3 linked regions of the Schizosaccharomyces pombe genome follow. The gene in region 3 interacts genetically with the main gene of each other region. Each region holds a gene or a part of one and is shown on either strand. Other genes may lie near its edges. The genes, in order: syj2, pph3 and amo1.

What was found.
Region 1: mutations in amo1 (region 3) and syj2 together harm fitness more than expected from each alone (negative genetic interaction), as found in Schizosaccharomyces pombe (one large-scale study listed by BioGRID).
Region 2: mutations in amo1 (region 3) and pph3 together harm fitness more than expected from each alone (negative genetic interaction), as found in Schizosaccharomyces pombe (one large-scale study listed by BioGRID).

What each region holds. Positions count from the first base shown.
Region 1 is NC_003423.3:773,819-777,576, reverse strand, and holds the start of syj2 (inositol-1,4,5-trisphosphate 5-phosphatase 2), read right to left. Parts: upstream 1,857-3,758; 5' UTR 1,805-1,856; coding exon 1-1,804. Other genes in the region: dph6 (endoribonuclease), read right to left, coding at 2,182-2,996, 3,092-3,758.
Region 2 is NC_003423.3:3,954,453-3,958,210, forward strand, and holds pph3 (serine/threonine protein phosphatase), read right to left. Parts: upstream 1,635-3,758; 5' UTR 1,478-1,634; coding exon 1,408-1,477; exon of another isoform or gene 1,293-1,407; coding exon 838-1,292; exon of another isoform or gene 804-837; intron 785-803; coding exon 263-784; 3' UTR 100-262; downstream 1-99. Other genes in the region: CIA machinery monothiol glutaredoxin Grx4, read left to right, coding at 3,052-3,758.
Region 3 is NC_003423.3:3,028,258-3,032,015, reverse strand, and holds amo1 (nuclear rim protein Amo1), read left to right. Parts: upstream 1-1,790; 5' UTR 1,791-1,823; coding exon 1,824-3,078; exon of another isoform or gene 3,079-3,138; coding exon 3,139-3,311; 3' UTR 3,312-3,331; downstream 3,332-3,758. Other genes in the region: protein mug98, read left to right, coding at 1-266; SPOM_SPBC15D4.11C (Mam33 family protein), read left to right, coding at 675-961, 1,103-1,256, 1,295-1,645; met3 (cystathionine gamma-synthase), read left to right, coding at 3,743-3,758. UniProt on the Schizosaccharomyces pombe protein: Involved in the cell polarity process where it is required for the correct termination of microtubule growth at the cell ends during interphase.

The sequences.
Region 1 (3,758 bases), 2.3 Mb from region 3:
CATAAGCGGAAGTTCTTTCGCCAAATGGAAGTAACAGCCTTTTAAATTCATCAGTGCTGGGTACTTTACCATTTGCATTAAATGTCGACGAAAATATGCTAAAATCCCTTTCGACTCTATATTCAGAACGACGTTGTCTTAGCACACCTTGGATGTAAGAAGACACGGATTCAGATATGAGTACGGGACTTTGATTCGGAAAACATCCCAACAGCAATAAAATGGCATTTTGAGATTCTACGTCTGGATATCTTCCAACATACATGCGGCCAAAAGATTTGGATATATCACTTAAAGATCCCGCAATAGATTTACGACCTCTACGGGTAGCGCTTGAACCAATGGAGCCAACCCCTGTAATTAGTTTCGCAATAGCATCACCGTTATTAGACCAGAGATGTCTTAGGTATTCAAGAATATTGAAAGTTACTCCTATTTGAAGGTTAAAAAATATATCCTTTAATACTAATCGAGATATTTGATACTGAATAACGTTTGTGCGTCCCAGACAATCCAAATCATTAATCCGAAACACTCCTTTTTGGAAAGATTCCAACATGTCATTTTCAATAGACTTTTGAGTATAGCCCATCTCTTTTAAATCGTCGGCCAAATCGGTCTCTAATCGTGGATCAATGTCAGGACGAGCAGGATCAGGTGTAAAGTGGAATTTCTTGACAACGGCAGGAAAAGGTAGAAGCATAAGGTGATGCTTGTAAGCTTCATATAGCGAAGCTTCAAAGCCTTTTGTTTGTAAAAGATCGATTACATATATATCACCATAAGCTTTGTATAGCTTACTAAAGTGAAAATTAAATAGACTTTGACTTGCCTGCGAAGATCTCAAAAAAGAAATAGAGGGTCCATACCAAGAAGAGAATTGTTCCTCCCAGAAACATGGGACTGTCCCTCGAACTTGTACGAAGCTAAAGACCGTTTGTGCGATCTCGACAATAAATTCTGTCTCCACAAACATAGAACAATAAGACGAATCATCAATACCAGAGGGAGGGTATGTTTGCCGAGAGCCATAACTAGATACCTTGGAGATTATACTCATAGACATACTATCAATGAACATTCTCTCAACATAACCCCGAAAGCAATGGAGCAACAGGTTCGGGAATTTCTCCAAAATATGGGCTTCAGAGAAGTGGTTATCCAATTCCGTTATGAGAAATCTATTCCAACAATAAATATCTTTGGGACCATAAGGCTGCTCGGATTGAAACCTTGAAAAGCAAGAAATATTTGTAGAGACATAAAATGAACCATCGGTGAGCAAATCGGTCAATTGAGAAAGGGAATGATATGGATATATCCTAGTAGTTGAAGAGTATTTACTAGAATATTCGCTATTAACCAAATTATCTTTTTCAATATTATTCAAGTCAGAAGTGCTTGTCGAAAAAGTAGAGCTTGGTGAACTATTACGAGGCATGGGTTCGAACAACTCTTCATCCCATAATTCCTGATCTAAAGAGATGAAGGAGACATTTTCAAGTTTCGAAATTGGGTCTCTATTACCAATTCGAAGCACTAGTTTTGCTTTCCGGGCAACGCATAGGAAAACGCCTTCTTTCATATCCTCACATACATAATTAAACAACCCAAGGGTTCCCAATATCTTCTCTCCTCCAAAAAGTAATTCATATTCCTTTATCTTTTCGAATTCTTCAAGTGAGATACAAGTGAATGTTATTATGCAATCAGAATCCTTAACAGACGGTTTTTGAATAATTGCCGCATATTTCTCTGTAATAAATGCAACAGATCTTTCTTTTCGTTTGAGATAGCACTGCATGGCAGGAAATAAATATATGCTTATTTCCTGCTTTGCGTGGATGGTAGACACTAAATACGTAGATATACTGACGCAGTAAGGAGATACACATAGCTAGCAAGTATTGTAGATTTCCAGTGAAAAAGTTAAATTTAAGCGTTGAAACAAAAGGAATGTCCTGAAAATATTTATTTAATCGTATTGGTTGAAAACCTGATAAACTTCAGCTTGTTATCATCAATTATATTATACAAATTGCCAAACTACCGAATATATATGCGTAAGAAATACGCTTTTTAGCGTTTTAATTTGGCCTGTATATATGAAAACAGTAAAAAAAGTTGTGTAAAAGCTAAGTTCGACCATTTCATTACAATCTAATTCCTATGTACATTAAGTTATACATTTTGATCTCTAGCTGTATAACGCACGTGTAATAACTGAGAATTTGGAAATGCATTGTTCAATACGATAGCATATGCGGAAGGATGTTCATGATGAATAAAGGAGGACTCCATTCGTAAACCATTTTGGTTCAATAAGGCGACATCCCATGCTGTATCAGAACCAAAAAGCGTTTGATTTGTAACGAGTGAACTTAGAAGTGGAACATCACAAGAGCTATCATTGTAAAGCAATTGCCATTCTACTGAGGCATTCCTTGGTAAGGCATCAACCAACGCAACCAAAACAGGACTTGACTCCCCAGTATTTTTTGTATATTCTGACCAAATTTTAACAACACAATCCGCATCACGAGAATCACAAACATATGCCAAGCATGCTATGAGTGAACCTACTCGCATTGCTTTTGCAACACGATTTGCGTGTTGAAGAGCCAGTACCATCTCAAATATTTTGTCATGAAGTTTTAACTCCATAACTGATGGTATTAAACCAATTTGTCCAGAAATGAAAACAACACCATTTGCACAGATCGACTGCGAATATGGACCAATGTTGGCTGGCGCCCAATAACTTTGCCCTTGAACATGAAGCGCTCTTTTCTCGGTTACATCTCCAACAATACAGGACATGACTATCCTATACTCACTAGCTAGAGGAGCTGCGACGCAAGACCGGGAAGGTGGGTTCGTGAAATCAAAATATTTATTGTAAACAGAGTTAAATTCTGCAAACTTAGACATGGAAGATAAAATGACGGTTACAAAGTAAACATTTTTGTTAGAATATCCATATGTACCAAGCAGTTCTAGGAAGTTAGTATTCTAGCGGTTTAAAGGAAATGTTCGGTGGCATAGCCGAATCAAGAATATGATTAACGAAGACAATCAATATGTAACTTACCATTTAAGTTGTTTATAGCAGATTCAGCTTCACCTTGAAACGTGTTATAAGATCCTTTGGTAGCAACCACATTACCCAATACTAAAAATGAGCCCTTTTTTTGCTGAAAGGCGCTTTCACGAAGAGGAATTGGGATAAGAGAAGTAGGCGTCTCCTCTTGATCGTCAATAAGTTCGTATTTTTTAGATATAGTATGATAAATATGTGAATATTCTTCCCCAAGTAATTCTTCATTTGGAACTAATTCACTTTTCAGCGAGATAGGTTGCCATTCAGGCTTATCTTTAACACAGGCCTTAACTTTCAAATAACAGACTTCCCCAGAAGAATGCTCAACAACCTCTTTATCAGTCAAAACAATTCGCTTCTTGAACAATGGGCAATCTAAAACCAATGTTTCGTATTCACCTCCTTCACCGCAAGGATGCAGTTCGAATTTTTTATTTAGGGTAAGAAGTTTATCTTGCATTTCAGCTAGAGATTTCCCCAAATCCTTCCTCGTAAGGCCAATTGCAGCTACTTTGATCAAGATGGCATTCAAACCAGAAACAACCATATCGTTGAGTAATTTTTCCTGATCTTTTTGCCAAAGAAAAGACAAGCTTTTCAAACCTAACCGTTTGCAAACATTTTCTACTCGAGTCCGTTGATATGTGGAAAGTATAGC
Region 2 (3,758 bases), 930 kb from region 3:
AGAAAGCGACTAAACAATCTTGTGCGTTGAAAGTTAGCTTAAAAAAGTTACAATTAAAATTTAACTTAATTACTTTTTAAATTTATGATGTCCTAAACAAATCAATATTGCTAAAATAACCAAATTCCATAAACAAGAATTAAATAAGTGCAGAATTAAAAATGAGAGACCAATAAGAAGAGTTAAGGGGATAATCTTTAGTACAAGTTGACCTATATACATGATATTGGGGAAGTGAAGTAGAGCAATGAATTTTGAATAATCATAAAAAGTAGTCGGCAATGGGTCGTTTTGTTGGAATGCCAGATCTTTCTTGAGAGGCAGTACCAAAAATCTTAAAGGATTGCGTTTGGTTTTCATCAAGTTGTAATATAGAAGCAACATTTCCACATCTGTAACAGTAATTGGGTGCACTCCAAACAGTAACCACGCTTCCTTTATCCTTTTCTGGAATGGTTATTATGTCTCCAGGTGCCGGAGAATCATCAACAGGTGAGGCAGAATCTGAATCCAGCTCAGAGTCCTCTTCATTTGTAAATTTGGGATACTGTTTATCTTTATCGGAAAAATGGATTTTGTAACCCTCCATAACCAATTGATGAGCACGAGCAATGAATGAAAGGTCATTAGCGCGATTAAAAACTTCAGAAACGTCGGCACCAAACAAAAATCCAGCACCTCTGGGAGATAAACCCCATCCACTAATATCTTCTGGATCTGACCAAAGTAGATCACACATTGCTCCTTCATGCGGAACTTCTTGTTTTCGATCCAACAGTCGAATCTTCATAAAAAGCGTTAAAAGTTTAGTTCAAATTTTCGGAATTAATAACATACCTGATCGATACTGCTGATGCTTGGTGAAAGTCCACCGTGCACACAAAAAACCTTTCCATCCACCAAAGCACCAAGCGAAAGATAATCAAATATTTCACAACAATATCGCCATACATTGGCAGAACCATATTTCCTTACACATTCGTCATAAAATCCATAAACTTGTGTTATTTGTCGTGATTCATGATTTCCCCGGATAAGGGTCATCTCTTTCGGATATTTACATTTTAAAGTCAATAACAGGAGAAATGTTTCTACAGAGTAAAACCCTCTATCAACAAAATCCCCTAGAAATAAATATTTTGTACCTGGACATGACCCACCAATTCGAAAAAGCTCCAGTAAATCATGCAATTGGCCATGGATATCACCACAAATGGTTACAGGAGATGAGATCCATTGTATGTTAGATTCCTCAATTAAAATATCTCTTACACGCTGACAAAGTTCAACAACTACCACAAAACGTTAGACCCCATTCTTATAATTATGGCAAAGAACAACCAATATGAATGATCGTTGTTATATCGACGGAGATAAAAGTTATTCTATAAATACTATTATACATACCATTTGATTCTGGAATTAACCTTCCGTTCTCCAGTTCCTCAAGTTGCCAATCCAAATCTAAATCAGTCATTTTGAACTCGTCAAAACATAAAGTAAAGAAAACTAGAATAACTTGGTCCTTTAGAATAAGAAAATAAACAAGTGAAATTCTTTTTCAACTTTATGTATCATTTAAGAAATTTAATTTTAAATAAGTCAAAATACCTCTGTCAAGAGGTATGACGCGTAGAGCTTTGGTGACTAAAATTCGGTTTTCCTTTTGATAATGACTTTTAAAATAATTAACATGACCTCCTTAATTAGCAGCTTCCGAATTTTATTGACACATACGTTGCGTTACGCTAGATTGTTTTTCAGAAAAATACGGTTGCTCCACCATTATTAGTGCTTTCATCTCGAAATGAAATGGACACAAGTTTTTGTATTAGATTGTTTTTTTTTAATCATTTATACTTAAAATTAATGATGAACTAGAATCTTTTAATTAAGTTGCATGCTACTCCAGTATGATTATTATAGCATGCCGTATTATCATTGATCTTGAGTTTTTATAACGCTAATACAAGAACGTGCACCTACTCATATATATATCTAGATTATAAGAAAAACTCCTATAGTTCTAACGGATCTAAATTGTTCGCACAAATGCGCAGCTTTGATGTTATAGGGTTTTTGTGAAATAAACTACATAACACTATAGCTTCTTGGTAAAAATCAGATAACACTCACAATTATAGGTAAAATAATCTGTATGCTGAAGGCGTACCCCTGTGGCGGAATATACACTCAATATAGAAAAACTGTATAGTCAATTCGTGTTGCAAACCCATAATTTATGTGAAGCTTTAACATAATTTGCATACTATTCTTTACTTATGTTCAGTCGGCAACTCAAGATGTTCAAATAACTAAAAAGATTTTAGAAATATATTCTTTCTATCTTTCAATATGGTTTACTGCAATTTGCGTACTATCAAAAGAATGAGGTGTGTAAGAAATGCTTGCCCTGAGCAGTACAATGCAATTTTTTAATACTTTAACTATATCAATCAATGTGTATGCTGTTGTTTTTATCAAGTATGAAACATATCTCATCTTGGTTGTTTTGGTCGCTTGTTATAAACTCATTTGGCTAGTAAAGCGACTGTTAATTTTATGTACAACATACAAAAATAAAATGTTAACAGAATTGTTTGGGTATTACGTAGAATCGGAGTATAAGCGCAACACACTAGTTTTTTTTGCCGAAAAAATTATTTTCCAGACGTTTTAATACCGAGGGATAAAGTTATCTGATCAGTCACGATGGTAATTAAAAAAATGAGATCGAGAATGCCGTTTAATGAATAGACAATGAAAAAAGTGAAGAAGAATCATCAAAACGTACATCAAAAGTGGTTTAACTAAAAAATTTCGAGTAATTTACTTGGATATGTTTTTTGCTGCAATTATATCATTTGCGTCGCCTATTGTGCAAGGAAGAGATTTTACTAGATACGTTTTCTACACTGCTCAGCCGAACCTGCCGACAACCAACTAGGAAAAAATAGGGCGTTGATTGTTGATTAAAAAGAATAAACTAGGTTTTTGAAAAAAAAAGTAGGAAAAGAAATAATTCCTCAAGCTGTGCTATTTTGATTGGAAATGAGCGTCGAAATTACTTTTGTTGAACAATTTCAAGAGATATTGCAAAATGGAAAAGAGCAAATAATTTTACTCAATTTTTATGCACCATGGGCTGCTCCATGCAAGCAAATGAACCAAGTCTTTGATCAATTTGCAAAGGACACGAAAAATGCCGTTTTCTTAAAAATTGAAGCTGAAAAATTTTCCGATATAGCAGAGTCGTTTGATGTAAACGCTGTTCCTCTATTTGTTTTAATCCACGGAGCAAAAGTTTTGGCTAGAATTTCGGGGGCAAATCCTCAAAAATTGAAGGCTGCTATTGACGAGTATATTCAACCCCTTATCTCCCAAATATCCTCTACCAACGCGTCCGTGGAAACTCAAGTAAATTCCGTTCAGACTACCAACACTACTTCCAATACCTCTAAAGCTCCAAATGGGTTGGATTCTGAACTAAATGAAAGGTTGAGCACGCTAACAAATGCTCACAATGTTATGCTCTTTTTAAAGGGTACTCCTTCAGAACCTGCATGTGGTTTTAGTCGTAAGCTCGTTGGATTACTTCGTGAGCAAAACGTTCAGTATGGATTTTTTAACATATTGGCTGATGATTCTGTACGCCAAGGTCTTAAAGTGTTTTCCGATTGGCCAACTTTCCCTCAATTGTACATTAAAGGTGAATTCGTCGGTGGTTTAGATATTGTTTCGGAGATGATTGAAAATGG
Region 3 (3,758 bases):
CTTTGAAAGTTCGAGCAAATACTTCTCGCATGAACCCCGGAGCTAAAACTTGGATTCCACAAATTAATCACCGAAAAAGTAGAAATCATTATAATCGTAAAGAAACATGCCAGTTTCCCCCTCTATACAATGTTGAAGCTAAAATAAACCATTCATATTCTGCGTTTTATCGTCCGTTTACCAAACGTGAGAATGGTTTGTGGTATGCGAATCCGTATTATATGCAGCATGGTCCAAACGGAAATTACCATCACGTTTATTATTAGTCATGTTTTCAAAATTTTGTGCCAATTTTTTCAATTTCATTCAAAAACCGCATCTTCATCATTATGGTTATAATCGACGCCGTTAAAAAACCAGGAAAAAGAATTTCATAGTCTTAATTTCTTTATTTTTTTCTTTAATCAGATGTCTACAATAATGATTTTTCCATTAATTATTTTCTTCATCCATTGCTATGGTATACAAGCACTTTAGTGAAAACCGCTGTATTACTTTAAAGTCACTGCTTTGCGTACTTCTCATAAGGAAGCAAATTCAGTTAAAGTGCTTATTGTCATATGCCCCATTGCATTAAATATTTATAATCTGTACAATTCATCAATCCATTGAAGAAGCAAATCTTTGTTGGACGGCTTGTAACAATTCTATTCTTCAGCTTATTGCACTTCAAAATGCTCAGAAAAGCGATCTCTACAGCACGAAACTTTAAATATCCTTTATTTAATTGCGAAAGGAGGTTTTCTTACTTTGATATGTTTCGTAGTAAACGAAAATTTACAAGTGGTATCCTAACGGAGCAACTAGCGTTGAAATTAGATTCTGAACTGGGTTACGTGAAACAGGTTCTTGATGAGACATTACCTAAAAAAGGATACGAAAAGGCTCTTCATTCTTTTATAATCCATGAAGATCCTTCGCTTAACTACATTTCAGCTTTAAAAGAAACGGCAAAGGAAAGGTAAGCTATTTTTCCTCAATTGTTTGTTGAATTCAACGATGTGATTTCATGTCTATGCGTTGGCTAATATACAACGTTTAAGATTATGCTTTCAGCAGAGCCTTTAAATTTCTTTCGATATAATAGTACTAACGTAGCTAGAATACGCGTTACTGTTCCCGTATATAGCTCTCGTAAAAGTTACGTCCAAACAAAGCCGATAACGCATAGTGCTGAAAATGAAAATGGTAACGAAACATCTGATGAACTAGTGTTCTTTCAGCATTCAATTCCTGCTTATGTCCAACTCACTAACGTAAGATCTTAACATGTTATTATAACTTACAATTATAGAACCATGGCACAATTTTGTGTGCTTTAATACTTTGTAAGGGCATGCTTCATTTTGATAGCATTTCTTTTCAATCACCTCAAAACTCTCAAGCGTTCTCATCTGACTTGAGGTTAATTTTACAAAAATCACAGAAGTACACTGGCAGAAAAACAAAGCACGTTCCAGCTTCTATCAAGTCAAGTTTACTTGAATTCTTGGATGAACAAGGAATTACAGTAAAATTCATGAAGGCGCTAATATCTCGCAGTTGGCGAAAAGAAAATGTCTCCTATAAGCATTGGATTCATAATATTATTGGATTTATTTTACCTTCTGAATCATCAACAACTAAAAAATCAGACTCCCAATGATGGTATAATTGTTCTTTGAATTCCTTTACTTTATGATTAATTGGAGCAATAACGCTACACCACACTACGATTCCAAATGGGACGCCCACTCTAAAAATAAGAAAATTTGGAGTATAACATATGATTATGATACATTTTTATACTTATCTTTAGCATATCATTTCAACTATTCAACAACATGGTCGTTTGTAAGTATTTCCTTCAAAATCGGTGCAGGTATGGTACCAATTGTAAAAATCAACATACGGTACCTTCTAATGGACAAAATGCATTTTCTAAGGTTAATGTCTTTCGTCCAGAGAATGGACGACCTCCAATATGGGTACAAAGGCGTTTGAAGAGAAGCGATTTAGATAATTTGCTTCCCAATAGAAGAATGAAGGATATTAACGACGATCTTAAAAACGCAAAACCACAATGGCCTTTTACAGGTTATTCAGTAGTTGAGAATCTACCATCAATTTATGAAGGCGATGTTTCGCCTGAAGAATTGCGGTGGTGGGCATATCAGGCTAAAGCGACAAACAATATGCAAGCATATGAACAACGCCAGAAACAGTTGATGGATGATGTAGAAGCAAAAGCAGCAGCCGTTAAACGGTCGCCTGCTGCTGCTTTCGATGAAATGAGAAATAAACTCGTCGGAAAGACAAATTATAAGTCAATTTTTGATAAGTCTACTAGCAATTCAACGGTTACGTCTAATCAGTTCAACAAGCCAACTCAAAATAGTCCTTTCAATTCTTTTTCAAATAACAATAATTCTTTCAATAACAATCAGCAAGCAAACGATATTTTTGGCGCCCCTACGACTTCTGCATTTACATCGCAATTAAATGCGTCTCCATTTTCTCAAAATACATCCTCAAATTCATTTACGGGAAGTAATCCAGTCCAAAACAACCCATCTTCTTTTGGTTCGTCTAGTTTTGGTTCGGCAACCTCAGGGCCATCAGCATTTGGGGGAATATCTCAGCCAAATTCGTCATTTGTTAATTCCGGACAAGGGATTCCTAACTCATCATTCTCCTCGTTTTCACAAGTTGCTTCTGGGTTTTCACAAAGTCAAAATGTGAATGATCCAAGTTCGATTTTCGGTCCTACTGTTGCCAGCGGTTTTGGAATACAGAATCAGCCTCAGCAATCAGCTTTTCAAAATTTGAATACTCAATTCTCGCTTCCTAATAATTCACAACCAGTTTTTGGTCATACATCTTTAACACAACCAGTGAACCCAAATGGTTTTACTGTTCAGCCCCCTGCTACTTTTATGCAACAACCTCAAGGCCCTTTTGTTCCGCCTAATACTACTTTTGAATCTCCATTTGCCAATGTAACCTCTAAAATATCCGCTTCAGGATTTTCTAACGATAATCCTGCTAACAAAAATATAATCCAAACTCCTATGTTTGGATCTTCTAACACAATTGACGGTAAGTTTTTTTACTTTGTATCCTTGCTAGTATACGAATATGACTAACGATCATCGACAGGTCCGATTAATCCAATAGGTGCTTCTTCTATCCAAACTTTGGATGATCAAGTAGAAATGAGTAATTCCAATCAAAATCTCGCATTTCCCCCAGAAATGATTCAGCAATTTGAAGCTCAAGATTTCATTCCCGGAAAAGTTCCAACAACAGCCCCTCCACCACAATTTTGTTAATTATTTTATTAAAATAGTTATTCAACGTAAGTTTTTTCGGGGATTTTTGATTAGTATTAAACTTTGTTCAAATTTCATATTCGATATTAGGTTGTAAATATATATATATATATATATATGTAATTTCAATTACGAGTATTAGACAAAGTGTGATGCTTTCCTACACGGCTATCTGATAAAGTTGTACCTAACTCGATTTATGTATCATTGTAAAATTCTAGAAAGAAAACAGTACTATTTTTTGTTATTAATTCATGAATCAAACTGATAGCTGATTTGATATAGAGGACAGAACTGTCCTGCACGCCTATTGGGTCTAAAGAGATGGTTGTCCCAATTCCACACACAATTCACTCCAGATTTTTGCAAGAACCCAAAACTTTTGTTTATGGCTATTTATATATAAATCTCAATTTTATTTAATTCTTTAAATGTCTGCAAATATTT